Callithrix jacchus: one gene and its partners. The protein of the gene in region 1 purifies or fractionates together with the protein of each later gene. This does not show direct contact. Links are inferred from orthologs where the notes say so. Each region holds a gene or a part of one and is shown in the gene's direction. Other genes may lie near its edges.

The links.
Region 2: the proteins of GSK3A (region 1) and FRAT1 purify together in Homo sapiens (affinity purification with mass spectrometry; 4 studies listed by BioGRID and IntAct, with this or other methods). This does not show direct contact. The link is inferred for Callithrix jacchus from reciprocal best matches to the Homo sapiens genes GSK3A and FRAT1.
Region 3: the proteins of GSK3A (region 1) and GSKIP purify together in Homo sapiens (affinity purification with mass spectrometry; 7 studies listed by BioGRID and IntAct, with this or other methods). This does not show direct contact. The link is inferred for Callithrix jacchus from reciprocal best matches to the Homo sapiens genes GSK3A and GSKIP.
Region 4: the proteins of GSK3A (region 1) and PRUNE1 purify together in Homo sapiens (affinity purification with mass spectrometry; 3 studies listed by BioGRID and IntAct, with this or other methods). This does not show direct contact. The link is inferred for Callithrix jacchus from reciprocal best matches to the Homo sapiens genes GSK3A and PRUNE1.
Region 5: the proteins of GSK3A (region 1) and NBR1 purify together in Homo sapiens (affinity purification with western blotting; 3 studies listed by BioGRID and IntAct, with this or other methods). This does not show direct contact. The link is inferred for Callithrix jacchus from reciprocal best matches to the Homo sapiens genes GSK3A and NBR1.
Region 6: the proteins of GSK3A (region 1) and AXIN2 purify together in Homo sapiens (affinity purification with mass spectrometry; 3 studies listed by BioGRID and IntAct, with this or other methods). This does not show direct contact. The link is inferred for Callithrix jacchus from reciprocal best matches to the Homo sapiens genes GSK3A and AXIN2.

What each region holds. Positions count from the first base shown.
Region 1 is NC_133523.1:37,258,623-37,262,866, reverse strand, and holds the end of GSK3A (glycogen synthase kinase-3 alpha), read left to right. Parts: intron 1-38; coding exon 39-136; intron 137-216; coding exon 217-312; intron 313-730; coding exon 731-917; intron 918-1,256; coding exon 1,257-1,349; intron 1,350-2,561; coding exon 2,562-2,635; 3' UTR 2,636-3,240; downstream 3,241-4,244. UniProt on the Homo sapiens protein: Constitutively active protein kinase that acts as a negative regulator in the hormonal control of glucose homeostasis, Wnt signaling and regulation of transcription factors and microtubules, by phosphorylating and inactivating glycogen synthase (GYS1 or GYS2), CTNNB1/beta-catenin, APC and AXIN1.
Region 2 is NC_133513.1:90,145,866-90,150,742, forward strand, and holds FRAT1 (proto-oncogene FRAT1), read left to right. Parts: upstream 1-1,883; 5' UTR 1,884-2,059; coding exon 2,060-2,899; 3' UTR 2,900-4,451; downstream 4,452-4,877. UniProt on the Homo sapiens protein: Positively regulates the Wnt signaling pathway by stabilizing beta-catenin through the association with GSK-3. May play a role in tumor progression and collaborate with PIM1 and MYC in lymphomagenesis.
Region 3 is NC_133509.1:131,198,730-131,203,776, forward strand, and holds the start of GSKIP (GSK3B-interacting protein), read left to right. Parts: upstream 1-1,622; 5' UTR 1,623-1,712; coding exon 1,713-1,792; intron 1,793-5,047. UniProt on the Homo sapiens protein: A-kinase anchoring protein for GSK3B and PKA that regulates or facilitates their kinase activity towards their targets.
Region 4 is NC_133519.1:10,905,786-10,910,624, forward strand, and holds the start of PRUNE1 (exopolyphosphatase PRUNE1), read left to right. Parts: upstream 1-1,512; 5' UTR 1,513-1,653; coding exon 1,654-1,692; exon of another isoform or gene 1,693-2,042; intron 2,043-4,839. UniProt on the Homo sapiens protein: Phosphodiesterase (PDE) that has higher activity toward cAMP than cGMP, as substrate. Plays a role in cell proliferation, migration and differentiation, and acts as a negative regulator of NME1. Plays a role in the regulation of neurogenesis.
Region 5 is NC_133506.1:120,771,019-120,775,934, reverse strand, and holds the start of NBR1 (next to BRCA1 gene 1 protein), read left to right. Parts: upstream 1-1,501; 5' UTR 1,502-1,631; exon of another isoform or gene 1,632-1,965; intron 1,966-2,215; exon of another isoform or gene 2,216-2,981; coding exon of another isoform or gene 2,982-3,023; exon of another isoform or gene 3,024-3,077; intron 3,078-4,916. Other genes in the region: uncharacterized protein LOC144582689, read right to left, coding at 2,982-3,023. UniProt on the Homo sapiens protein: Ubiquitin-binding autophagy adapter that participates in different processes including host defense or intracellular homeostasis.
Region 6 is NC_133506.1:123,779,592-123,783,994, forward strand, and holds part of AXIN2 (axin-2), read left to right. Parts: intron 1-524; 5' UTR 525-644; coding exon 645-1,459; intron 1,460-4,403. UniProt on the Homo sapiens protein: Inhibitor of the Wnt signaling pathway. Down-regulates beta-catenin. Probably facilitate the phosphorylation of beta-catenin and APC by GSK3B.

The sequences.
Region 1 (4,244 bases):
ACTCGCCTAGCCCTGATACTCCCGTCATTTCCCCTCAGATGTTTGGTCAGCTGGCTGTGTATTGGCGGAGCTCCTCCTGGGCCAGCCCATCTTCCCTGGGGACAGTGGGGTGGACCAGCTCGTGGAGATCATCAAGGTGAGGGGTGGGGCTGGGGTAGGCAGGGGGTGGGGCTGAGGGGTGGGGCCCTTGTCTCAGACCCCTCCCTCTTTTTACAGGTGCTGGGAACACCAACCCGGGAACAAATCCGAGAGATGAACCCCAACTACACGGAGTTCAAGTTCCCTCAGATTAAAGCTCACCCCTGGACAAAGGTGGGGCAGGGCTCGGGGCTTAGGGCAGCATGGCTGAGAGCCATTCCCCCTTGGAGGTCAAGTGTTCTGTGGACCTGGCTTAGGAGGATTTGAGAGTTATCCAGGGATCAGTAACTTCCATGCAATTTCAAAGTTTATGGCATCTTAAAAGTCGAGAACTCTCAAGTAAATTCAAGATTCTAATTATTATGGAGGGGAAAAAGCTCACAGCAGGGCTCATACAGTCCGGACCTGGGCTGGCTGCTCACCCGATACAAACTACTTTCCATAGTGGTTGGGCCTCAGTTTCTCCATTTGGAAGGTGGGGGAGTGGGAAGTAGCCAGTCATACTTGCCACAGGCACTGTGGCAGTGAGATAACAGGAGTATGCTAGTGACCAGGTCATTTCACCCTCATGACCCCTGCACCCATTCCCCAGGTGTTTAAATCTCGAACGCCGCCGGAGGCCATCGCGCTTTGCTCCAGCCTGCTGGAGTACACCCCGTCCTCAAGGCTCTCCCCACTAGAGGCCTGCGCCCACAGCTTCTTTGATGAACTACGATGTCTGGGAACCCAGCTCCCTAACAACCGCCCACTTCCCCCTCTCTTCAACTTCAGTGCTGGTGGTGAGGGCATAGCCTGGGATCTGGGGAGCAGGGCGGGGGCAGTCAAAGATTGTTAAGAGCTTGGTGTTGAAGCAGGAATGGGGACCTAAGGGTAGGGTACAAGGTGGGGGAGGGGCTCAGGAAAGATGACCCCTGGATTCAGGGGTAATCGAACCTGTTTCAGTTATGCTCTACTATGATTTGCTTCGTGCTAGGCCTTTTCTGGTTTTTCACTGAGAGAGGCCTGTGGCTGAAAGTGTCCACAAACAACTGGCCTTGCCAATAGCTGGGTTCCCATTTGGTGCCCATCATAACCCTGCTGTAGGCTACCCTGACTGGCATGTCAATTGCTGTTTCTAGAACTCTCCATCCAACCATCTCTCAACGCCATTCTCATCCCTCCTCACTTGAGGTCCCCAGCGGGCACTACCACCCTCACCCAGTCCTCACAAGGTAAGTGGGGGCCATCTGCTGGGGGTTAAAGCATTTCTCCATCTGGGAAGTGTGAAGCTGTTCTCTCAGTCCTGGGTTTCCTGAATGTATTTTTAAATCGTTGAAATCTTGATGGCATACAAAGCACATCTTAAACATGTGAATGACCATCTTTAAAGGGCATTCTTGTGCACATTTGTGTTTAAATGCCAGTGGGAAAGCCAGAGAAATAATGTTTGGCCTGAACAAACAGAACGTTGAATTTGTTGCCCAGGTGTTCTTTTTTTTTTTGGAGACAGAGTTTCCCTCTTGTTGCCCAGGCTGGATTGCAGTGGCTTGATCTCAGCTAACTGCAATCTCTGCCTCCTGGGCTCAGGTGATTTTCCTGCCTCAGCTTCTAAGTAGCTGGAATTACAGGTGCACGCCAACACGCCTGGCTGATTTTTGTATCTTTAGTAGAGATGAGGTTTCACCATGTTGGCCAGACTGGTCTTGAACTCCTGACCTTAGGTGATCTCCCACCTTAGCCTCCCAAAGTGCTGGGATTACAGGTGTGAGCCACTACTCCTGGCTATGTTGCCCAGGTTTAAAAATAGGGGCCATTTTATGTAAAAATTCAGATTTCCTGTTTCTCTCGGGGAAGAAAAAAATCAGATTGAGTAGCAGTGGGCCCACCCATCCTTCTGACAGTAGACAGTGGGGGCTGGATTCCAGCTGCTCCCCACCCCCTTTTGAGATGGGTCCAGCCTCAGCTGGAGCACGGTGGCACAGTCTTGGCTCACTGCAACTTCCTTCTCCTTGGCTCAAGTGATTCTCCTGCCTTAGCATCCTGAGGAGATGGTATTACAGGTGCACACCACCCTGCCCAGCTAATTTTTGTATTTTTAATAAGAGATGGGGTTGCACCATGTTGGCCAGGCTGGTTTGGAACTCTTGACCTCAAGTGATCTGCCCACCTCGGACTCCCAAAATGCTGGGATTACAGGTGTGAGCCACCGTTCCCGACCCAGCTGCCCCCTTATATGGAGCCTGGCACTCTGGTGTATGACTCAGTTACCATCCTGGCCCTTTGGCACTCAAGTTTGCAACCCTTGACCTAAAGTGACAGCTTTAAACTTTTAATGCAGCATCTATAACAAGAGAATTCCTATTCTTCGATTGGGGGAAGGGGTGTCTGAAAGGCAAAGGCTAATTCTCTGCTCCTTCCCTCCCTCCCTCCCTCCCTCCCTCCAGCTTTAACTGAGACTACAACCAGCTCAGACTGGCAGTCAACCGATGCCACACCTACCCTCACTAACTCGTCCTGAGAGCCCCACCAACCACCCTTCCACTTCCATCTGGGAGCCCCAAGAGGGGCTGGGAAGGGGGGCCATAGCCCATCAAGCTCCTGCCCTGGCTGGGCCCCTAGACTAGAGGGCAGAGGTAAATGAGTCCCTGTCCCCACCTCCAGTCCCTCCCTCACCAGCCTCACTCCTGTGGTGGGCTTTTTAAGAGGATTTTAACTGGTTGTGGGGAGGGAAAGAAGGACAGGGTGTTGGGGGGATGAGGACCTCCTACCCCCTTGACCCCTCCCCTCCCCCAGGTCTCCACCTCCTCCAAACCCCCTCCCCTCCTGTTTCCCTTGTAAATAGAACCAGCCCAGCCCCTGTCTCCTCTTCCCTTCCCTGGCCCCTGGGTGTAAATAGATTGTTATAATTTTTTTCTTAAAGAAAACGTCGATTCGCACCGTCCAACCTGGCCCCGCCCCCTCCTACAGCTGTAACTCCCCTCCTGTCCTCTGCCCCCAAGGTCTTCTCCCTCCTCACCCCACCCTGGAGGGCCAGAGGAGTGGAGAGAGCTCCTGATGTCTTAGTTTCCACAGTAAGGTTTGCCTGTGTACAGACCTCCGTTCAATAAATTATTGGCATGAAAACTTGCTTTCTGTCTGGCTGCCTATTTCCACTGAGGTGGTGGGGGCTCCCAGGTGGACTGTTCCAGGACAGGCGTGAGCTGCGTCTCAGGTAGGGCTGTCCAAAGGCCTCACACGGTGGCTTTCTCAGCATGTGTGGTGATGAGCTTCGTCTGGCTTATCTGCTCTAGAGGCCTGGGAGGAGCCTGCCCCATGACCCAGCATAAATTATCTGCTTCTGCTTAGGGAGGGTGGGATTAACCTCCCAGAAATGGTGAGTGAATCGGGGATCAGAGAAGCGAAGGCCATGGAGCTTAAGAGACAGTCAGGACTTGAACAATAGACTGTCTTAGCCCAAGCTGCCTGCTACTCTAGGGTCTAGGGGGACATGAGGTGATGAGGAGTTACTCAGGCCAAAACTTAGCCTGCTTGTAGACTCTTTTGTTGGGTGGCCATGGCTGGAGGCAGAACCCTAGAAGATTCCAAGCCTTCATTTCCAAGTCTTAAACAGGGCACCTACCTGGTCCACCTCTTAAGGATGTTGGGAAGTGACAACTCTGGAAAGGTTGGGGCAGAGAGCTTGACTTTTACCCACACTTAACACATGCTGGGGCCAGATGGTGAGGCATGGGTGGAAGGAAATGTTATCTTCTCTACATGGCACCAGCAGTGAGTGTGGCCAGGATGCCCCAGAGGTGGAAGGGGGCCTGGGGAGGAACACTGGGTATGCCCCCTACTGGATTCCATTGGTGAACAAAAAAGGAGTTTCAAATGTTCCAGATGGAGTGAAGCGACTATTTGGGTGGAGTGTGGGCTCTCCAGTCTGCTTGCCCCACTCGAGGGGCATCTTTACACTACCTGGGATAGGACAGACCCTGTCCCTTCCTTGCTCAACACTACCTGGATTTTACCTGGTTTGTAGAATGAATGAATATACAGAATAAGCAGACTGACAAGGGGGAGGATGGCTGTTCTGGGCGAGGGGCAGACCTTGGGATCCTGGAACCCCCTTCCTCCCTGCTACTCAC
Region 2 (4,877 bases), on another chromosome or scaffold:
AGTGATCTGCCTGCCTCAGCCTCCTAAAGTGCTGGGATTACAGGGTTGAGTCACTGCGCCCAGCTGAGGGAGACCCTGTCTCAATTTAAAAAAAAATCTGCTAATATCACCTCCCTGTAGGCCTTGATGTGGGCCCATGTGTTTATTTCTCTTAGCTAAGTATACAGGATTGGAACTGTTTTCCAGTACAAGCATATGTTTCATTTTATAAGAAACTGCTAGACTTTCCAAAGTGGTTGTACCATTTTTGATGCCCACAATAATGTATGAGGCTTGGGCCGGGCACGATGGCTCACGCCTATAATCCCAGCACTTTGGGAGGCTGAGGCAGGTGGATCACAAGGTCAAGAGATCGAGACCATCCTGGTCAACATGGTGAAACCCCATCTCTACTAAAAATACCAAAAAAATTAGCTGGGCATGGTGACGTGTGCCTGTAATCCCAGCTAATCGGGAGGCTGAGGCAGGAGAATTGCCTGAACCCAGGAGGCGGAGGTTGCGGTGAGCCGAGATCGCGCCATTGCACTCCAGCCTGGGTAACAAGAGTGAAACTCCGTCTCAAAAATAAATAAATAAATAATGTATGAGGCTTACAGGTTGTGAAACAGAGATTTAAAAAGCACAAATTGTAAACTGCTACTAATTATTTTAATTTTAAACATTTAAATAGATCAGGCCTGGTGGCTCATGCCTGTAATCCCAGCATTTTGGGAGGCCAAGGCGGCGGATCACCTGAGGTCAGGAGTTCGAGAACAGGCTGGCCAACATGGTGAAACCCTGTCTCTACTAAAAATACAAAAATTAGCTGGGCATGGTGGCAGGTGCCTGTAATCCCAGCTACTTGGGAGACTGGAGAAGAGTTTGAACCCAGGAGGCAGAGGTTACAGTGAGCCAAGATCGTGTCATTGCACTCCAGCCTGGGCAAAAAAAATGAAACTTCATTCAACAAACAAACAAAAAAGACTAGTAACCTAGGCCGGGCGCGGTGGCTCACACCCGTAATCCCAGCACTTTGGGAGGCTGAAGTGGGTGGATCACCTGAGGTCAGAAGTTCAAAGCCAGCCTGGCCAACATGGGGAAACCCCGTCTCTACTAAAAATACAAAAATTAGTCCGGCTTGTGGTGGGCGCCTGTAATCCCAGCTACGCGGGAGGCTGAAGCAGGAGAATTGCTTGAACACAGGAGGTAGAGGTTATAGTGACTGGCGATCGTGCCACTGCACTCCAGCCTGGTTAACAGAGCGAGGCTCCTCCAAAAAAAAAAAAAAAAGACTGGCAACTTCCTTTTCTCCTCTCCAGCAACGCCAACCCCAGTCCAGGCCCCCATCGCCCAGGATCTCTATCAAGAAACAGTCATCTGTGGCCTTTCTTTGCCATTTCCAACTCTGCCACCCCCATTGCACGACAAGGTCCCCTTCTTCCTTTCCATTCCTGTCAGCTTCGTTTCTCTATAATCTCCGTACAAATCTCTAGCCTAACTCCTCTTCCTTTCCATCCTCTCCAGATGCCCGCCTGCTGGACCTCAAAAGCGCAAACGCTAAAAACCGGTTAAGTTGACGCAAGGAGAGAAGGGGTGTGTGGGTGGGTGTGTGTGTGTTAGTGTATGTGCTTGTGTGTGGAAGAAACCAACGGGGTCCACGCTGGTGTCCATTTCTGGAAATGCCAACAGCGCCCTACTGCGGGAGCCAGGATCAGGTCCCCAGGGCGCCCCTCCAGACAGCACCCTTAGCGAAGGAGCGAAGACGGCAGCCCTGCTTCACCCAGACCCCTAGTTCCGCAGGAGCTCCGCCCCACAGCGGCACAGCACCCCTGCCCCGGCGCGGTGGTAGGGCCCGGCACGACGTCACCCATTGTTTACAAATCAACTCGAGCCGGCAGGATTCCGGCTCCCGCGGCGGCAGGCGCGCGGCTCGAGTGCCTGGCGGGCTCCGGCTTCCGTGTCCGCCCCGGCCCGGGCTTCGGCCTCAGCCCCGCGCCCGCTCTGCCGCGGCCCACCGCGCCCACGGGCAGCTAAGCCTCCAGCGACGCCCGCACAGCTCCGGGTGCCCGGACAGGGGGCCATGCCCTGCCGGAGGGAGGAGGAAGAGGAAGCCGGCGAGGAGGCGGAGGGGGAGGAAGAGGAGGAGGACAGCTTCCTCCTGCTGGAGCAGTCGGTGGCGCTGGGCGGCTCGGGCGAGGTGGACCGGCTGGTGGCCCAGATCGGCGAGACGCTGCAACTGGACCCGGCGCAGGACAGCCCGGCCTCGCCGTGCGCGCCCCCGGGGGCGCCGCTGCGAGCCCCGGGGCCCCTGGCTGCAGCGGTGCGGGCGGACAAGGCCCGGCCCCCGGCAGTGCCGCTGCTGCTGCCGCCGGTGTCGATGGAGACAGTGGGCCCGGCGCCCCTTGGGGCCCTGCGCAGCACCCTGGGGGACCGCGGCCGCGTGCGGGGCCGCGCTGCGCCCTACTGCGTGGCGGAGCTCGCGGCAGGCCCCAGCGCGCTGTCCCCACTGCCCCCTCAGGCCGACCTTGATGGGCCTCCGGGGGCTGGCAAGCAGGGCGTCCCACAGCCGCTGTCGGGTCCGTGCCGGCGAGGATGGCTCCGGGGCGCCGCCGCCTCCCGCCGCCTGCAGCAGCGACGCGGGTCCCAACCCGAAACCCGCACAGGCGACGACGACCCGCACCGGCTCCTACAGCAGCTAGTGCTCTCTGGAAACCTCATCAAGGAGGCCGTGCGGAGGCTTCATTCTCGACGGCTGCAGTTACGTGCAAAGCTTCCTCAACGCCCGCTCCTGGGACCGCTGTCGGCCCCGGTGCATGAACCCCCTTCGCCTCGCAGCCCTCGCGCGGCCTGCAGTGACCCAGGCGCGTCCGGGAGGGCGCAGCCCAGAACTGGCGACGGCGTTCTTGTCCCTGGCAGCTAACACGCCTGGGGTGGTCACAGCGCCAGCCTCATACTGGAGGGCAAGGGGTTCCCCTGAGGGCTGCAGTTCTGCTCAGGCTGATGGAGAACTCTGGCTTTTGGAAGCGAGAGAAAAAAAGCTAATGATGAGGGACCGAAAAATCGCGAATGTTTCACGGGACACTGGGGTCGAAGGCCAAAATATTTGGAATGCAGGACTTGGCCCTATTTAAGGCAGATTTTACAGAGTGCACCCCAAGCTTAAAAGTCAGTAGAACTCCTTATTTGGCGTGACCCGACCTGGCCGCGGAGCCTGCAGTTCTGTGCAGCCTCTCAGTGCCCTCCAGCCGGCGACCATGTGGCCACAGCCCACGCTTCTCGGGATCGCGGTGCGCTGGAACCACGGAGGATGAGATGCCAGTTACTTGCTTTCACCTTTTCAGAGCTGGCTCCTGGTCCACTTTGTGGGAGGAAAACATGAGTGGATAATTTCAGGGTGCACCCCAATCTGCCGGACTTGAATATTTTCGACACTTAAAAAAAAAAACATCTTGTGTCTTTGGAGGTGCTGCTTAATATCAAATAGCCGGTGCCATGAAGGGACCCTTTGGGGATTGAATAGGAGTAACCCCCGCCCTCTCTTTGCAATTGTCTGCCTTTCTCAGAGTGGGAGGGAAGGCTGTACCACACAGGTGCGGACAGGAGGTGGGGGCGGGGGGTGCTGAATGGTGGTGGAAGGGTAGAATGAGGCGCGGGGTAAACCCCACGCCCTCTCTAAAGTGTATTTTCACAGCCGGCCTGCCTCTCCGAGGGTTCAAGGTCACTGTTTCCTGGGCACGCACTGGGTTGCGGGGCAGAGTAGCCGGGTTCTGCCCGTGTTCGGAGAAGAGCGCAGTATTTTGCAAGTGCTGGAGTCTCCTGAGGACACGCGCGCCGCCGCCACCGCGGGTGTGGGAAAGCGCGGACGTGCTGGGCGCCTGTGCTTCCCTGGGCGACCACCGCCCCTGGCCGAGGCCCCGGCTTTCACGGAAACTCGCTAGACGGAGTCCTGGGTTCCTCCTCTCCCCCTCGGCTCTGCTGTCCTACTCATTCGGTGGCGCAGGGATCCTGGGGGCCTGGGTTGGGGGCTAGGGATTCGTCATGTGATGGGCACTCCAGGGACACACAGCCTAGCACAGCAGCTTATAATGGGCTCTCCGGGGCCATTTGCAGTAACAGCTGCAATTCCCTGGATAGACGGAGTTGATTTCCTCCCTCTGCCCCTCCCCCAGTCATGCCAGCTGGCCTTTGTAAGTGCAGGAAACCGAGTAGAAAATGTGACCCTCCAAATGGAGAAGCTGCAGGCTTTGCCGTTGCGAACCATGGTGAAGTGCTTGGAACATACCGTTCGCTCATTGAAGGCGCTGGGACTGTGCTGTTGTTCTAGTTTTATAGTCAATGGCTTGTTCATCATCCAGATGTGGCTACTGACATATCTACACTTCGCACCGGAGTGTCTGGAGTTGTGGCTGTCCTGATTATAGGATTTTAACTTAACTGAAATGCCTGCTTTGAATAAATGCGTTGGGTTTTTTGTTTGGTTTTATTTTATACTTGCCATTGGTGAAAAAGATGTACAGAACACATTTCTCTGATCTCCATAAACATGAAAACACTTGAAAGCCCTGTCAGCCTGGCTTGCGGATGGTAATTAGAGCGCCTTTGTGTCTGAGCAGCTCACTAGCTAGACAAGGTCTCCGCAGCTGGGTGTGTATTGGTGCTGGCATGAAATTAAATGAAAGTGAGGTCAGGTTTTGGACCAATCCCATTCGTTAAAACCTCGGAGCCTTTTGGATTACTAGTCAGTGATGGAGATGTGTTATAAAGCTGCCTCTATTAGCAAAGGACATCAGATCAGCCAGTCACTGCAGACTGGGAGGCTTTTTTTTTTTTTTTGTTCTTTCTACTGTGGCCATTAAGTGCACTTGTTCCACAGGGTGGCCCTTAAGGCTGGGGCAGCT
Region 3 (5,047 bases), on another chromosome or scaffold:
AGTAGCTGGGACTACAGGCTTGTGCCCTATGCCCAGCTAATTTTTATATTCTTTTGTAGAGACAGAGTTTCACCATGTTGCCCAGGCGGGTCTCAAACTCCTGGACTCAAACAATTCACCCACCTTGGCCTCCTAAAGTGCTGGGATTACAGGCATGAGCCAGGGCACCCAGCCAGTGTTTCTGCTTATTTACAGTCTTTAAAACTCAAATTAACACTGTATTTCTTCATCCTGACTTCCCTCGTTAATCAACAAAAGCACTTTGCCCCACCAAGCCTCATGTTGAAATTTGATCCCCAGTGTTAGAGGTGAATCCTGGTGGGAGGTGTTTGGATCCTGGTGGTGGATGCCTCATGAATGGCCCAGTGCCCTTCTCCCGAGAGCCAGTGAGCTCTCACTCTTAGTTCACTGAGAATTTGTTGTTGAAAAGAACCTGGCACCTCCTCACTCACTTTTTCTCTCTCTCTCCCTCTCTCTCCCCACTCGCTCTCTGTCTCCCTCTCCCCCTCCCTTCCTCCCTTCCCTTTTTCCTTCCTTCACCATGTGATCTGCATATGCTGGCTCCCCTTCTGTCTTGAGTGGAAGCACCTAAGGCAGAAAATTGGTACTTAAGAGTGGGATGTTGATATAAAGAGACTCGGAAGCAGCTTTGGAACTGGGTAATGGGCAGAGGCTGAAAGAGCTTGGAGGACTCAAAAAACAAGAAGATAAAAGAATGTTTGGAATGTCTTAGAGATTGGTTAAGTGATTGTGCTGATAGAAATAGAGACAGTAAAGGCCATGCTGAGGAGAGCTAAGGTGGAAACGGGGTCTTACTGAGAACTTGAGCAAACATCACCGTTGTTACACTGTAGCAAAGAACTTGGCTGCATTGCCTCCATGCCCTAGGGCTTTGTGGAAGGCCAAACTTAAGTTATGACCTAGAGTATCTGGTATAAGAAATATCTAAGCAGCAGAGAGTTCAAGAAGTGGCACGGCTGCTTTGAATAGCTCACAATCAAATATGGGAGGAAAGAAATGACCTGAAGTTGGAATTTATAATTAAAAGTAAAGCAGAGCATAAAAATATGGAAATACTTGCAGCCTGGCCTTGTGTAAAGAAGGAAAGAGCATTTTCAGAAGAATCCAGTTAGTTCAGATAAAAGGGAGCCAGGTGCTAATAGCCAAGACAATGGGGAAAAGTCCCTCAAGACATTTCCGAAATCTCCTAAGCTGTCCCTCTCATCACAAGTCCAGAAGCCTAGAAGACCAAGAATGGTTTCCATGGTCAAAGCCTTGGGTGCAACTGTTGTGTGCCACCTTGGAACGTGCTCCCTGCATCCTGGTTGCTCCAGCTCCAGCTCTGTTTCAGAGGGCTCCAGGTACTGCTCAGGCTGCAAGCTGTCGCCTTTGCAGATTCTGTGTGTTGCAGGACACAGAATACAAGAGTGGCAGAGGCTTGGCAGCTCCCACCTAGATTTTAGAGGGTGTATCAGAAGGCCTGGGTGTCACAGAAATATTCTGCTAGGACAGTGCCAAGCAGAAATGTGGTGTTGGAGCTCTGATGGAAAGTCTCCACTGGAGTGTTAACTAGTAGAGCTATGGGAACAAGGTTGCCATGGGGACCACAGAATTGCAGAGCCACTGGCAGTATGCACTTTCATCCTGGAAAAGCCACAGGCATTTGACTCCAACTCATGAGAGCAGCCGCATGAGCTGCACCCAGGAAAGCCATGGGGCTGGGACTGCCCAAAGCCTTGGGAGCCCACCCCTCACACCACTGTGCCCAGGATGCAGGACATGCTCAAAGCAGGTTTGGGAACTTTAAGCTTAATGTCTGCCCTGATGGGTTTCTGAGTCTCATGGGGCCTCTCACCCTTCTCTTGGCCAATTTCTTCCTTTGGAAAACAGCATGTATCCAATGACTGTTCCATCATTGTATCTTGGAAGTAAATAACTTTGTTTTTTATTTTATAGGCTTATAGCTTTAAGGAACTTGCCTTGAGTCTCAGATGAGACTTTGGACTTTTAAGTTGGTGCTGGAACAAAACAAGACTTGGGGACTATTGGGATGGAATAATTGTATTTTGAATGTGAGAAGGACATCAGATTTGAGAAGCGAGGAGTGGAAGGCTGTGGTTTGGATGGGGTTTGTTTGGCCCCACCAAGTCTCTTGTCAAAATTTGATCTGCATTGTTGGAGATGGGGCCTGGTGAGAGGTGTTTGGATCAGGGGGTGGGAGCAGGGCTGGGAGGGGCCAGTTGGAGGGGCCAGTTTGAGGGGCGAGAGGTAGGGATCTCATGAATGGCTCAATGTCTTTCTCCCAAGAATGAGTGAGTTTTCACTCAGTTTCTGACAGAACTGGTTGTTGAAAAGAGCCTGGCTCTCCTCCTCTATATCTATCTGTCTATCTATCTATCTATCTATCTATCTATCTATCTATCTATCCTCTCTATCTACCTACCTAGCTAGTACCTGGCTCTCCTCCTCTCTATGTATCTATCTATTTTATCTACCTACCTACCTACCTGTCTGTCTGTCTTCCCCACACCCACCCTCCCTCACACACTGGCTCCTCTCCCACCATGAGTGGAGGCAGCTGGAGGCCATTGCAGATTCTCACACTGCTTCATGTACAGCTTGTAGAACCATGAGCCAAATAAACCTCTTTTCTTTATAAATGACTCAGCCTGGGGTACTTCTTTACAGCAATACAAACAGACTAAGATAAGCACAATACAATTATGTTGTCTAGATTTATAATTACTAAATATATATATCTCTGTCCTTGCTGAAAATGAGGTGCAGAGTAATTTTATAAACCGTTGTATACATGGGAAAATAGCCATTCTTACTGAATTACAAACACTTTATATTTGTGATACTATACATGATTGTGAATTAAATTTTCTATTTCAAAATAAATATGTCTCTAAGCTATTGAAAACAGATTAATGTTATGTATTACAGAAAACAAAGGTTAAATTGGGTTTTAACTTTGCCTAAATTTTTAATGTTGCTGATAATAAACTTTATTCATTTTTCCTTTCAAAACAGTTGTTGGAAATGCAGATAAATTCAGAACTGTTGTTTTATCTGTAACTGATGCTACCAGTTATTTTAAGTGTCTGAATAATAACCTGGTTTCTCTAGGATTTCTGCTTCCTACACTTTATACTCTCCAAAATACTGCAATTTTTAAATTGTTTTTTCTTGTTGAAAACATAATACATTTCCTTTTCTCCAGGAAAATTCAAATACTAAAAAATTAAAACTATCAATTTTTTTTTTTTTTTTTTGAGACAGAGTCTTACTCTGTCACCCAGGCTGGAATGCAGGGGTGAGATCTCAGCTTACTGCAGCCTCTGCCTCCTGGGTTCAAGAGATTCTCTCGCCTCAGCCACCCTAGTAACTGGGATTACAGGCATGCGCTACCACACGCGGCTAATTTTTTGTATTTTTAGTGGAGATGGGGTTTCGCCATGTCGGCCAGACTGGTCTTGAACTCCTGACCTCAAGTGATCCACCAGCCTCAGCCTCCCAAAGTGTTGGGATTATAGACATGAGCCACCACGCCCAGCCAAAACTATCAATAATTATTTTTTAACAGAGAGCGATAGCATAACTGAAGCGGAAAGAGTTGCAAAAACTTAGAGAAAACCTAACCTTAGCCCTTACCTGGTACCCTTTTCCCAGCTCCTGCCTCTGCTTGTTAACTTCATACTGCAAGACACAGTGCCTGAAATTTTCACCTTGTTGGATTAATTCCTTTGGTTAGGCTATACTTCTCAAGCTGATTTTTCATGCAAATATTCCTCATTCAAACCTACCTTTTAGATTTAGAGGCAAAGGAAACTATAGACGTGTAGGGGTATAACCAAAAGAGGATGTGGCTTGAGACATCCAAATATTTGTGTACTTTGTATTTAAAACTCTAGGAAGTTTTGTAATATTTCCTGATACTGGTATAGTAACAGTGATGTATATTTTCCAAGAACATCTGCCATGTTTGTCCTGCATCTTTGTATACTCTTTGTCACAGAGCTGAGTATCATACTTAAGAAGCAGAGAGTTAGAATTTTTTCTGTGTTTTATTCATTTAGAAAATATTCAGTGACATTCTGCTTTATGCCAGACACTGTGCTGGAACACGCTCCCATTTTCATGGGTTTGCAGTAGTACAGACGCAAAAATTATTTGCCATGAGGCTTAAGTACAGCAGTACCAAAGTAGAGATACTATTCAGGGAGATATAGTGATGGACCATCTTGAGATCAGATACAGAATCCTGAAATAGGTTTGTCTGAGCTGAATTTTAGAGGATCATAAGTCTTCAAAGTATTTTGTTAAAATACATTTTTAAGTTAAAAACATATGGTGAGCCTGTGTCAAAAATGTATTTAATAATGAAGTTAACAGCAAGATGGTAAAAGCTGGTTCAGAGTAGTATAGGAGAGACCAAAGTCAGTGAAAGAGAAACCGATGAAATAGGCTTGCAAAGTTAGCTCAGAACTGATTATTGGGATTTCCACTTACATGGCCAAGATAGACTAACAAGGACCCTCTCACCTTAATTTCAAAAAAAAAAGAAGAAATGGACTAAATATATGAAACAATGGTTTCAGGACTTTTGAGCATCAGGTAATGGGCAGTAATCCCTGAGAAGCAACATACAAATATGGTGAGCCTGTTGCCCCACTGTATTGTCTAGAGAGTCTCCAGGCATGGCCTTGGAAAGAAAAACCCAAGTAAAGCCTGATGGCCTCCCTGAATTGAGGACATGGAGCTAGAAACCCAAGAAGGTCAAGGCAGCTAGGACAGAGTACTAGAAAGTAAATAGCTTCACAGAAAGCAAGGACTCTGAAGATGTACAAAGGGTCTCACTTCAGCCTACAGCTGAATACTGATTGATGGCTGTGAGTTCACTGCCCTAGGCTGGGGAAAGAACTACCAAAAAGAATTAGAGGAGGGTCCAGGTGCATTGGCTCACGCCAGTAATCCAGACACTTTGGGAGGCCTGTGTGGGTGGATCACTTAAGGTCAGGAGTTTGAAACCAGCTTAACCAAC
Region 4 (4,839 bases), on another chromosome or scaffold:
AGTCAAGGACAAGCTCCCTGGAGGAGGAGGGGCCTGCCCAGCACTGGTGGATTTCCATCAGGGCTTTATGACCCGGTCAGCAGCTTGGTGATCAGCAGAGAGGGAGAGAGAAACAGGAGAGAAAAACAACAGACCCTTTCTCTTCCCTCCGCCAGCCTCTGGAAGGGACGGAGCGCTTGTGCCTCTCTGGTGAGAATAGGGAAGAGCAAGTGCCCTTGCTGAGTGGGGAGGAGCCGGGCTGGACAGAAGCAGCTTGTTGGATCTGAGGTTTCTCTCTGGGTATGGCAGTCCTTTGCTCCAGATCCACAGAAACAGGACAAAAGAGCACGATATTTGCATATATTACTCAATGTTAATGAGTTATGTTAAATTAAAGAAAAAACAACCCAGCTCTTTTCCCTCTGGAGCCCTCCAGAGGGCTCCTTTTCAAGTCCTTGCCGTATCTTTTTTTAAGTCTAGAAAAAACTGGTTGGGTTGTGCACCTGGTAGAGCGCAGAGGGTGTGGAAGAAGCCCCAGGCTATGGGAAGAGCGCACAGCAGGGAAAGAACTCGTAGAACAGGCAGGAGATCCAACACCCCTGTGCCCTGGATCTTGGTTCCACCGCAGGCCTCAGCTTTTCATCAGTCACCTCCCCTCAATTTACAGCTGGGGAAGCAGGAAAAGCTGGTGTGAGGTTGATGGTAGGAAATATAGGGACAGATAAATAAACGAGGGAATATTTGACCTTGAGCTTCCATTTATTTGCAGTACCTGCACTACCCTGCGGCTGGAAAGTGGCGGTTAAGGGAGGTTGGAACCTAACTCTGCATTCTGAAGGGTTCCCTAGACTCTATGGACAGGACTGCCACAGGATGAAACTTCAAGCCACTCTGAAGGCTGAAAGAGCAGTTGGAACAATTAGGGAGGCAGAGAGCAAAAAGCCAAGGTTACAACCGTCCAAGAAAGGAAGGAGAAGATATTTAACGAGGCAGTAGGAAAAAAAAAAAACAGGCTACAGAGTAGCAAAGGAAGAAGCAGCAAGAGTTGGCAGGACACTGCAGGTATTAAGCAAACAAGAGGGATCAAAGATTATTCTAATGTTCTGCAAACATGAACAACCACAAAACTGGTGGCGACTGAGTCAGTTCGGTTAAGGAGAGAATTTCCAGAAAGAAGATGAATATCTGTTTTGCCAAGTGTCACTTAAAATGTCAACCAGATGCTCGGTGAGATATATGGAAAGATGTTATACTTAGCCCGATCTGAGAGGGTAAGTTCAGACGCCACAACAATGGGTCGCTGTGACACATCCACATTTGTTTGTCAAACGACTGATCCCTCAGAAAACTCTCCTTCCCTCGCTTGCTAGGGCCATTGCGGAGCTGCGAGACAACCTTTCCCACGACGACCAGCGCCACGCCCCCTTGGCCTCTCCGGAAAGACGTCCCAGGAGCCTCTGGGCGTAGAGCCCCGCCTCCGCTGGGGGCGGGGCGACGCCGGGCTCGGGAGTGCCCGCTTACGCACTTCCTCCCGGGGTCGGAGGCCGATTCGCCGTGTGGCGGGTTCGAGTCCCGCCTCCTGACTCTGGTCTTTAGCCCCTGAGTCCCGGGCGGGGTGCATTCGCCGGGGAACCGCTCCTCGATCTGGGGCGACGGCGTACTTTGGGCTTCATCATGGAGGACTACCTGCAGGGTTGTCGAGCTGCTCTGCAGGTAACCGATCCCTGTCTGTGACTGTAAGGAATGGAGCACGGGGTCCAGGAAGGACGGAGACGTGGGATCTGGGGGAGCCTCGACGGTCCGTGTGGAGGGAACACTATGTTGTGGGGAGGGGGGTTGGGGCCCGATCAGATTTGGGGCATGAGGAGCGAGAAGCCAGCTTACGAGCGTGAGAATGCTGCTTGCTCAGTCTCCCGGTTTTTGGCGCCCCGCCTTGGGGGTCCGCCCGAGAGCGGGGAGAAGTCTTGGGTCTGAGTCCTGCATTTGAGCCTCTGCTTGCTGTCGTCTTGGTCAGTTCCGTCAAAAGGACCAGGACTGTGCCGCCGCCAGCCGAGCCCCGCGAGGTGTGTTTATTCTTTACTCCCCGCCCCTCTTTCAGTTCTCCGCTCCTAAGGCCTCGCTTGGCCCACTGGCCTCCAGGTGAACCTCGGGGGTGTGGAGGGAACCGATGCTCGTGGCTTTATTTCCTCTGAATGGCAGTTTCTGTCTGGCGGGCTGAACTCATTTCTAGGTTAGAAGTGGTCGTGGTATTTTACTTTAAGTCAGTGTTTTTAAGCCAAACATACAGAATCCATCAAGCATATTTCTTGACCCACAACCAGCATTCCTTTGCCTCCAGGTTTCTCCCTTGGCCTTAACACACAGAAATGACATAAAAATTCTCCACTTGGAAGGGATAAGCACAAAGAGTGTTTGCAATCAAAACCATAAATATGACTACTGACTGCTTTGTGGCTTATGCGTGGTGCTCTCTGAGCCAGCTGGACTCACCCAGCTGAGCCGTCATGAGGCATTAGGCTGTTATCCCAGTTAGCAGCAAAAAGCTAACCAGAGAGAGGATCCAGGAGGTCACCGGGCCCCTCTACTTTGAGTTATTCTGCCCTGAAGAAACCCAGACAGATGGCTGGCTGAGCTTTCCTTTTTAGATATCTTAAACTCTACAAATTCTCCTGGGGGACAGATTCTGTTTGTTTGTTTGTTTGTTTGTTTGTTTGAGACAAGAGTCTCAATCTGTCACTCAGGCTGGAGTGCAATGGCACAATCTTGGCTCACTGCAACCTCTGCTTCCCGAGTTCAAGTGATTCTCCTGCCTCAGCCTCTTGAGTAGTTGGAATTACAGGCATGTGCCACCCCGCCCGGCTAATTTTTGTATTTTTAGTAGAGACGGAATTTCACCATGTTGTCCAGACTGGTCTCAAACTCCTGACCTCATGATCCGCCTTCCGTGACCTCCCAAAGTGCTGGGATTACGGGCGTGAGCCATCGTGCCTGGCCCAGATTCTGGTCCTTAACAAATCCTGAAAGTCAGTTAATTCCTGCTACAGACATATCTACTGGAATAAAATGAATTGTCTTCATGTTGAATTGGGGAGATGGTCCATTTTAACACCAATTACACATTTTCCTTGGGAAAACAAATTTGGGGAAATTATTTCAATGCATGAGGCCATTTGGAAGCAGTCCCTTTTAGTTACCTCTGATTCCACCACAGGGCACTTATTGGAGGACTAATGTAGAGTTTTGTGGCACTGTTCTAAGTGCTAAGCACTTAGATTCCCCCCCCCCCCCCCCAGGTAACACAAATGACTGGTCTCTGTTCCACCATTTGGTAAAGAGCACTTGGACCTGAAACCTCACCAAATGCTATTTCTTTGCATGCATCTACTCTCCAGCACGTATCCTCCAGAGCCTCCCCCACCCCCAGGTTAATAGTATATTCTCTATTTTTATTCTGTATTTGTTTGTTTATTTATTTATTTTGAGCCAGGGTCTCACTCTGTTGCCCTGGCTGGAGTGCAGTAGTGTGATCACCCCCCAGGCTCAATTGATCCTCCCACCTCAGCCTCCCATTAAAGCTTCGACTATAGGCATGTGCCACCACGCAGGGCTAATTTTTTGTATTTTTGTAGAGACACGGCCTCGCCATGTTGCCCAGTCTGGTCTCGAACTCCTGGACTCAAGCAATCCCTCTGGTTTGGCTTCCCAGAGTGCTGGAATGATAGGTGTGAGCCACTGTGCCTGGCCCTAGTAGTATATTCTCTACAGCAATATGAAGCTGGAACAATACTTGATTTTTCCAATATTGCTGGCATCTTAACTTTTGTCTCCCTGCATTCTTCCCCCAAGGAGCAAGATCTAGATTTTCTTTTCAAACTTGTGAACTTGTAAAAGGTGAGATTGTGTCCGTAGAGCTTTCATCACCGCATAGCCCCCCCAGGGCCTGGAGAAATGAGAAAAGTAGACTCTAGGAAAGTTAGCAGATGAACTGATGGCAAGACATACTGGTAGATGCCAACAATTTAGATTGCTTTAAATTTTTTTTTTTTTTTTTTTGAGATGTAGTTTTGCTCTTGTTACCCAGGCTGGAGTGCAATGGTGCGATCTTGGCTCACCGCAATCTCTGCCTCCTGGGTTCAGGCAATTCTCCTGCCTCAGCCTCCTGAGTAGCTGGGATTACAAGTGTACACCACCATGCCTGGCTAACTTTTGTATTTTTAGTAGCGACAGGGTTTCACCATGTTGGCCTGGCTGGTCTGGAACTCCTGACCTCAAGTGATCCACCTGTCTTGGCCTCCCAAAGTGTTGGGGTTACAGGTGGAGCCACCATGCCCTGCCTAGATTGCTTTAAATTATAGAAGTAGTAAATGTGCACTTAATGAACAAATTTAAATACCAAAAGGATATGAAATGAAAAAGATAAAGATCCTCTTTCTTCTCACCTCTCCATCTGGTTCTCCAGAGGCCACCCTGTTAGGTTTCTTGTGTAAGAGAGATGATTTGGACAGATACACTCTTAAGTTTGAATGTTCCTCTTCAATTATAGTTTAATTATAACTTTCAGGAGATCAGGAATGCTCCTGTCTGCACAGGATAAAGACAGCTGGTAATCCAGCCAAGTCTCCCCTTACTACCCCATTTTTAGCATTTGACACCAGAGACATTTTCGGCAGCCTCTGCCACAGGGACAATAGGACATTCCATTAAAATTTTTTTTAAAATTTAACTAAATGTCCTATTTATGGTGACTCATCTTTCACTTCTAGGAAGGAGTCGTCTTTGCTTCAGGGTGGGGCTGCATTGCAGTTTGGGTGTCCATCCAGGAGCCTTTGGATAATGTATTGTGTGCATTTCTCAGGCATG
Region 5 (4,916 bases), on another chromosome or scaffold:
ATACCTCGGCTTTCTTTTTTCTTTTTTTGAGACGGAGTTTCGCTCTTGTTACCCAGGCTGGAGTGCAATGGCGTGATCTCGGCTCACTGCAACCTCCGCCTCCTGGGTTCAGGCAATTCTCCTGCCTCAGCCCCGAGCAGCTGGGATCACAGGCACGCGCCACCGTGCCCAGCTAATCTTTTGTATTTTTAGTAGAGACGGGGTTTCACCACGTTGACCAGGATGGTCTCGATCTGTTGACCTTGTGATCCACCCGCCTCGGCCTCCCAAAGTGCTGGGATTACAGGCTTGAGCCACCGCACCCGGCCCACACCTCGGCTTTCTATTGAAACTGCTCTCTGTGACTCAAATGTGACAGGCAAGCAGTCCAAACCCATGCCATCTTGGCCCCTGCGACTTGTAATAAGTAATTAAGGTCTGTAATTTCCACCCTACCCAGACAATGTGTAAACAAATGCTAATCTTGACTTTTGTGAACTACTTAAGTAACAATCAGAATGTCAAAAGTCCTCTGGCCCTCGGAGTGTCCGGAGCCCCTCACCCTCATCTTCGCCTAGGAATCCACTGGAATGTCCAGAGCCCCTCACGCTCATCTCCACCCAGGATGATTCACAGCATCCACTAGCCCTCAGAACGTCTGAAGCCCCTCACCCCCAACCCCCGCCCTTTGTCCTCACTCCCGAGGTGGTTTTACGGGTATAAAAGGTCTTGACACCCTCCTTTGGGGGCCACGGGTTGGAGAGACGCGAGTCCTCGGTGGCCGCCGGCAATAAAGACCCTGCAATTTGGCATACTTTTGTCTTGGTGTTGACTTTCTATGCTCAGGCCAGTACAACAGACGTTGTTCCCCTCGAGGCACATTCCAGTTCCTATAACTAGGATTCCCCCTCAGACACACCATGCCCTCTTCCTTATCCTCGGTGCTTCCCTCGCGATCTACAAACTGCCCCCCGCCCCAGGGTTCACAACGCCTTACGCCTCTTAGGTTCCACCGTCCTCCCACCCCCAGCCTAAAGAATACCTATCTGTTCTGCTTTGGAAATTCACTCTCGCCCGCCAGTCCCCCGGAGCATCGCTTGGGACCCTGTCCCTTTCCCGGGGTTCTATTACCTTTACCCAGAGCAGAGCGTACAGGCGTCAGGACCTCTTGGGACCAGGGGCCCAGTTATCTGAGAAACCTCACGCCCCGTCCACCATTCAGAGTCTCAGCGAGCTCACGCCGCGCAGTCGCAGTTTAAATTTATCTGTAATTCCCGCGCTTTTCCGTTGCCACGGAAACCAGCGGGCTGCCACTGAACAACAGCCTCCTAGAATTCAAGACGCATTACAGGAAGGGCGAGACAGAAAGAGCCAAGCGTCTCTCGGGGCTCTGGATTGGCCACCCAGTCTTCCGCCGAATGGCGTAGAAAGAAAGAGACGGAAAAGGAGGCACTCTTACCTGGGTTTGCCAGAAAGCGCCCGCCCTCTCTCCGCTACGCTAACGCTTGCGGCTTATTACGTCACAGTAATTGCTGTACGAAGGCCAGAATCGCTACCAAAGACCTGAATGTGAGCGCGAGATAGCGTTCAAAGCTGTCGTAAGAGCTTCCGTTCCCCCACTCTTTCCGCTCCAATGGAGGTCTCCTGTTTAGGTAAATAAAAGGATTGTGGTGGCGGGGGGTGGGGGACGGCGATGGAAGAGAACTACAATTTCCACCATGCATTGCGGAATGAAAGGCCTTCGCCACCGTGTTTCTTGAAAACTGTAGTCTTATGGAGCTGACCATCCAATACCGAAGCGGGCACAATTCTCACGGAAATCCAGTGGATAAATTGGAGACCTCCGAGCCCTTATACATGTCAACAGTTATGGATTGGAGTGTTGTTATGTTTTGTATCTTGAGAGCGGAGACTAGGCCAAAAAAAAAGATACGTATAACTCCTAGGAAGACTACAATTCCCATCCAGCCCCACTAGTCCTCTAAGGTTAGTTGCCTGTGGGATCGCAGGGGCTACCGTATTTGCCTGGGGAAGGGGAAATCCGCTCTGACCCACGTCTGCGCACTCGTAGTTCCGCCCCTCGACCCCAATGTTTGTTATTGTTGTTCAGTTACAGGTTGCTTCTGCCCCGCCCCCGTCGATACAATCTCCACCAATCAATGGGGTGGTTGTTTTGAGGGACAAATGGCAAGATCCAATCATCTTGTCGGAAACTCAGAGAACCAGGGGACTAGTTACTGTCTTTATCCGCCATGTTAGATTCACCGCCACAGGGATAGCGGCAGAGCTGGCTGCGGACGGTCCTTGCATTGGCCTCTGGCAGGCGCCCCCCGGGGGCGGGAAGCTGGTAAGGAAGCAGCTGCGGTTACCTAGGAGTGGGGTCACGTCACACTAAGAGGGTTTGGGGAAGTTCAAGAGAGGAATCCTGCAAAGAAGACGGGGCACTTTTTCCGTGTCTCGGGACACCTAATCTTTTTAGTGATTGGATGAGAGAGCCCTTCTTGTTCAGAGGGACCGAGTGGGCGAAAAGCGCTGGAGAGGTGGAGGGTCTGTGGTTCAGAACATCCGGCTTCAACTGGTGGAAGGCCACGACTCCCCCGCAGAAAGAGGGCCTAGGCAAAGAAATTGAGAGGGAGTCCTCGGGGTGGTGACACCGTCTTGGGAACATGGAGTGCTGGGAAACGATAACTGGAAGACTAGGATGAAGTCTGCAAGTAAAAATATGACACTACCCACATATTCTCATCCCATCCTTCTTTTTTCGGGACCCTCTTAAAGCGATCCCTTTGGTTAGGGACCTTCGGTTTTGGAAAGGCACTATTTTTCCTTTTTATCAAACACCCAGCTTTCAGGACACACTTTTTTTATTTTTTATTTTTCTGAGACAGAGTCTCGCAGTGTTGCCCAGGCTGGTCTTGAACCGCTCCTGACCTCAGGTCACACATTTTAAAGCTTCGATAACTTGGCTTGTACAGGCCTCTGGTGGAGACAGTAATCAAAGCTCAGGTTTCCAGGTCTGTTTCATTAAAGGGATTTTGTTGAGGCTGGAAGAAGAAAAAAATCGACGTAGAGGAAAAGCTAACTTGTGTCAAGCAAAGGTGAGTCAGTGGCATGGACTTAAAATAATGCCAGTTACGAAAGCCCTGGGACCCAGCTATCTGTCTTACTGGCTTTAGACCTAAGGGGCAGATGGGGTTAACCATAGCTTTGGTATTTACAGAAGTTCAAGATTAATGTTCTTGTGGAAAGAATCTTTTTACATGTCAGCCAAAGATAGTTTCTTATGAAGACCTGGATATGGTCCAGCTAAGCTAGAATCTCCCACTTCCTGTTTTCTCTTAGTTGGCCGACCAGCTGGAGGAGCTCCAGAGTATCTAAATTAATTTCCAATTGTGTAATTTGAGAAACAGAGGAAGATTCATTTCCTTAAGTGTGTTTCTTGAAGTTAGAAAGTGATATTTCAGAATATCCACTTTTGGCAGACTGAGTCAGTCACTTCATTTCCCTGACTTTTTGCCTAAAGTCCTGGGGAATTGAAAAAAATTCTGCCCAAATCTTAAGGACCCCAAGAATTACATTTCACATGAATGAATACTAGATGTCAGCAGGATGGTTGTTAACACGGTAGTATTGTTTTGGTGGTGAACTTGAGTCTAGGTAGAAACAAAGAATGAAGAAAATTGAAGGATAATCGTCTTAGGGTTTCACAAAAGTGCCTGATCTTCACAGAGTTCAGAGTCCTTAAAATGATAGTCTTAATTGTAGTGTTTTACAGGGCAATGCATTACATTGTGGAAAACAGTACAGGTTTATGGTTTTACAGATTGGTTTATTATTTAAAACCTTTTTTAAATTTAACTTAATTTTTTAAGGAAATGGGGTCTGGCTTTGTTTCCCAGGCTGGTCTTGAACTCCTAGGCTCATGATCCTCCTGCCTCAGCCTCCCAAAGTGCTAGGATTACAGGCAGGAGCCACTACACCTAGCCAATTTTTTCTTTTCATTTTTATTTTTATTTTTGAGACAGAGTCTTGCTCTGTCACCCAGGTGGGAGTGCAGTGGCATGATCTTGGGTCACTGCAACCTTGCCTCCAAGGTTCAAACAATTCTCATGCTTTAGCCTCCTGAGTAGCTGGGATTACAGACCTGTGCAACCACACCCACCTAATTTTTGCTTTTTTAGTAGAGACAGGGTTTCACCACGTTGGCTAGGCTGGTCTCGAACTCCTTGACTCAAGCAATCTGCCTGCCTCTGTCTCCCAAATGCTGGGATTAAAGGCATGAGCCACTGTTCTGCGGATTACCTGAGTCGAGAGTTCGAGACCAGCCTGACCAACATGGAGAAACCCCATCTTTATTTTTAAAAAAATACACTTAGCTGGGCGTGATGGCACATGCCGGTAATCCCAGCAACTTGGGAGGCTGAGACAGGAGACTCGCTGGAACCCGGGGGGCAGAGGTTACGGTGAGCCAAGTTCATGCCATTGTAGTGGAGTCTGGGCAACAAGAGTGAAACTCAGTCTCAAAAAAAAAGAATTGTGAATTTCTTAGATATGCTAATGGTATCTAGACTTTTTTAAAAAATTCTTATCTTTTAGAGGTACATACTCAATTATTGATGGATAAAAGGATGGATGTCTGGCAAAATAATCTAGTAAGGAAAAAAGAGTATTGCTGTTATAGCAAATTGGTCCTGAGTTGGTAATTATGGAAGAAGCTAGCTTATGGGTCCATAGGGATTCATTATATTATTCTCTCTACTTTTGTATAGGTTTAAATTTTCCCATAAAAATATTTTATAAAATAGGCTGGGTATGGTGGCTCACCCCTGTAATCCCAACACTTTGGGAAGCCAAGACGGGCGAATCACTTGAAGTCAGGAGTTTGAGACCAGACTGACCAACATGGTGAAACCCTGTCTGTACTAAAAGTACAAAAA
Region 6 (4,403 bases), on another chromosome or scaffold:
CCAGATGCCGGGGAGGGGCATGTTTGGAGCTCGAGTTATCTGTGCAGAGCCGAGTGGGGAAATTTACCGAAATTGGTTTCACCTGCACTCAGCCTAGCGGCTGGGAGTGCGCCTCTTTGGAGTTGACGGTTTCGGGGGAGGGGAAGGGAGGGGAGGCGAGGCTCCGGGTGAGCTACCCCAGCGTGCGCCCTGGCGGAGTGGGTTTTGGGAAGGTTGTGTCTTACACCTCCGATGTCCCCCTGCCGCCCCCAGCCCTTGCCCTCCTCTCACCTTCCCCTCCTCTTTCCCAGCAGCTCCCTTCCATCCCCAACCCCGAAAAGTGTGCAGGGAGCTCAGATTTCGCTTTTGAAAAGCAGCGTCTGATACTTTAGATGACCACCTCGCAGATAGCTGGGTTGCTTGATTTGAATTTGAGGGGTTGAAAAGCCTGTTTACTTTCTAGCTTTGATGTTGGGTAGATCTGGTTTTGATTAGATCAATACCCTTTTCTCTCTCCCCACCTCCCCGCTTCCTTTTCTTTCCAGAGAGGAGGCTCAGATGAGCCCCTGCTGACTTGAGAGAGACAGACAGACCACGCCGATTGCTGAGAGGAACTGGAAGAAGAAGAAAAAATTCCCAAACTCAGTGGGAAGAGCTCCCTCACCATGAGTAGTGCTGTGTTGGTGACTCGCCTCCCGGACCCCAGCAGCAGCTTCCGTGAGGATGCCCCGCGGCCCCCAGTGCCAGGGGAAGAAGGGGAGACCCCACCGTGTCAGCCAGGGGTGGGCAAGAGCCAGGTCACCAAACCCATGCCTGTCTCTTCCAACACCAGGCGGAACGAAGATGGGCTGGGGGAGCCAGAGGGGCGAGCATCCCCTGATTCCCCTCTGACTAGGTGGACCAAGTCCTTGCACTCCTTGTTGGGCGATCAAGACGGTGCTTACCTCTTCCGGACTTTCCTGGAGAGGGAGAAATGCGTGGATACCTTAGACTTCTGGTTTGCCTGCAATGGATTCAGGCAGATGAACCTGAAGGATACCAAAACTTTACGAGTAGCCAAAGCGATCTACAAAAGGTACATTGAAAACAACAGCATTGTCTCCAAGCAGCTGAAGCCTGCCACCAAGACCTACATAAGAGACGGTATCAAGAAGCAGCAGATTGATTCCATCATGTTTGACCAGGCGCAGACCGAGATCCAGTCGGTGATGGAGGAAAATGCCTACCAGATGTTTTTGACTTCTGATATATACCTCGAATATGTAAGGAGTGGGGGAGAAAACACAACTTACATGAGTAACGGGGGACTGGGGAGCCTCAAGGTCGTGTGTGGCTATCTCCCCACCTTGAACGAAGAAGAGGAGTGGACTTGTGCTGACTTCAAGTGCAAACTTTCGCCAACTGTGGTTGGTTTGTCCAGCAAAACTCTGAGGGCCACAGCAAGTGTGAGGTCCACGGAAACAGTTGACAGTGGATACAGGTAAGACCTGGACAGGGGCTGGTGGGGCGGGTGGGCAGTTGATGTGAACTTTGCAGATGTTTTGAGTTAAGTCCGATGGATGGATGGATGGGTGTGCTGCAGAGACTGACAGAGGGTTGTTGAGAGCTGGGACTGCTGGCCATGAACCCTTTTTGATCTTGCTTTTTGTTGTTTAAAGAGGGGAAGAGTGATGCACACATCTAAATACCTGCAGTCTTTCAGTGCTGACATCAAACAGTGGCAAGCAGTATACACTAATGTGGGTTACTTATTATCCCGGGCTAGTGTCTCAGAAGGGGTTGAGAAAGAGAGAGAGAGCGAGCGCTCGAGAGGGAGCAGCTTTTGATGCCTCTGAGTCACCAGATCCACTAAGCACCGGTTTTGGAAGGGGTCACTTCACCACTAATCAGTAGAGGGTGGAATTAATGTGGCTAGGAAGGCAACTGGGTTGTGGTGGAGGCGCAGGCGCGGGAAATAACGTGTGCACCCATTGAGGGGTAAGTGGGTTTTTTTTTTTTTTTTTTTTTTTTGAGCTTTTCTGTTAAGAGCCAGCGATTGGCTTAACTGAGCTTGTGGTTCCCTTTGTAGAATTAGATATTTACCCAGCAAGAAAGGCCTCTAACTAGGGAAGGTCCTGTGATTTTCCTAAATGAAGGACCCTTGGCTCTAGAGCCTGCTGGTATATTAATCCAGGTTTTAAATGCACATGAGTCGGAGGGGCAGACTTCAGTTGATTATTTTGTTAGTGCTGATGGAGAAGAGATCTTGGCCCGGGAGCACTGGGGCTCTGGAGTACGTTCTCTTTGAGGCTTCAAAGACAAATAGTTCTTTGCAGAATGGCCAAGTCTTAAGATTCTTGACCTTTGGAGGCAACTTCAGACCTCTTGTTAGAATGATTTTTTCTGTTTTCTTCCCTTCTCCCTATTTCCAAGTATCCAAAAGGAGAATGAGCCTCTTAATTCTGGGGTGTGGTTTATGACAGGACAGGGGATGGGACTTCACTTAACTGCTATCTGAAGGGTTTATCTTGCCGTCTGTGTGGATTTCTCTGTGTGTTAGGGGCCCAGGATGCGATCTAATAGCTGCCTCTGGATTTCCCTTTCTCTGTAGGGTGTGGTCTCTAGTTTCCAGCAGCAGGAAGAGAGGTGGGCACCAGATGGTTGATCTGGAGCCACTCAGGGTAGCCGGGTCTGAGCCTAGCAGGCCAGGATTTAGGGGCGAGTTGACTGCTGGTGAGGAGGGGAAGGGCTTATTCTTCAACCACCAGGGGGCGCACTTATGGCTTGGGAACCAGTTTTACTCAGCCATCTGGTCTACACTTAAGTGGAACGAGGTTGACTTTTGCAAGGAAGCACAGGGTACCAGGGAGTTGTTTCGGCATCTTTATGCTTATGGAGTCAGGTTATTTGGGAGGAAGATCCTGGGTCTGGCCTCTGCAGCAGGTCAGTCGCTGGGCACCTGCTATGGGTGCGCGCACTATTATGAGAACACTTGGGTGAACCTCTGGCACTGACCCCCTTGCCCTCTAGCCTGGCAGCCAGAGCCAAGACTGCTGAAGGGTCATGGTAAAGGCTGCTTCGCTGGGGGCCTCTTGATTGGGGCTTCTGTGTTTCCCATTGTGGGGACTGGAGTGTCACCTTAGTAGATAGCACAGTGTGTGGTTTTGGACACCCTCCCCAGGCAGGGCTCTGCTGTGAACCCTCCCCTTTGTGGGTGAGCAGTTGAGACCCATCCTGGGCTTGCCTCACTGGGATATGACCAGGATTCAGCTCCTGAAGCTTTTGAGATCCAGAAGCTCCTGTCTTCCAGGGCTGCCTTGTTGGCTGTGAACTCTTTATCATTGATAAAGAGGTGACAGCTTGTCATTGACCTGAGAGTTTCCATGCTAGATTCACGTGTGCCTTCTCCCACCTTAGGGATGAGATGAAGCATCTTATGGACTCATGTGTCTTAACTCATGTGTCTTAACTGGACATATTTAAAGAGAATTTTACGACAGAGCCAGATGATCTAGCTTCATTTTAACGTGCAAGACATTCGAGGGTGTACAGAGTATATTGAAAGGTCTGCTGAGTTATTCAAGGGTTTGCGTTCCAGCCTGGTCCACTTTGTGTTGAAGCCTTCTGAACCACATGTGCCTATCTGTAAAATGGGTGGGCCCCGTTGCTTCTGTCTGTATCAGAGGATTGTTGTTACTAGGACCAAAATAATAAACATGAAAGCCTTTTGTAAAGAGAAATGTTGTGAACAGCTGCTAAGTGTTATAATTAGTATAATTAATAATGTTAATGTAAAAAGGGCAACCACATTGGGATGTCACCTTTGAAAGGGCGACTCTTGGCTTAGCCTAGTTTTCATTGTAATGTTATAGAGTGGCCCCCTGTCCCCCATGCCTCAACTTCCTTTTTAAACTGCGGTCTTTTTCCAGATAGTTCTTAGAATGTAGGGATCCCATCTAAGGTTTTTAAATTCACTCCTTCCCTCCTGCACACATTAACTCATCCTGCAGAGTACCTGGTATCTGGGATGGGTTTAATAAGTTAGTAAAATGAATGAAACAGAAACGTGAGTCCTGCTGAGGAGGGTCTTTCTTCACCGGCTGCTTCCAGCCAGATGCCCAGGGCACTGGCCAGCCTTGCAAGCTCTGTGTTTACCGTGGGCACTCAAAGGAGCCTCGTTTTTAACAACTTGTTTGTGTCCTTACTGATTTGGTGTCAGGTTTAATATAAATAGTTGGGGCGGAAGAGCAGGAATTATCCTCAGAGGGCAGGACTCTGGGCTGAGTGGTTGAGGGGGATGCCTGGGCTTTTGACGCTCTCTATAAATAACCTAGAGCAAAAGCCACTTGTTGGTAGGACACATGTAAAAACCCTGGCACACAAACACACGCACAGTGTCGAGGTGTGTGTGTGAGGGGGTTGTGGGATTAGGCGCTGGGCCTCAC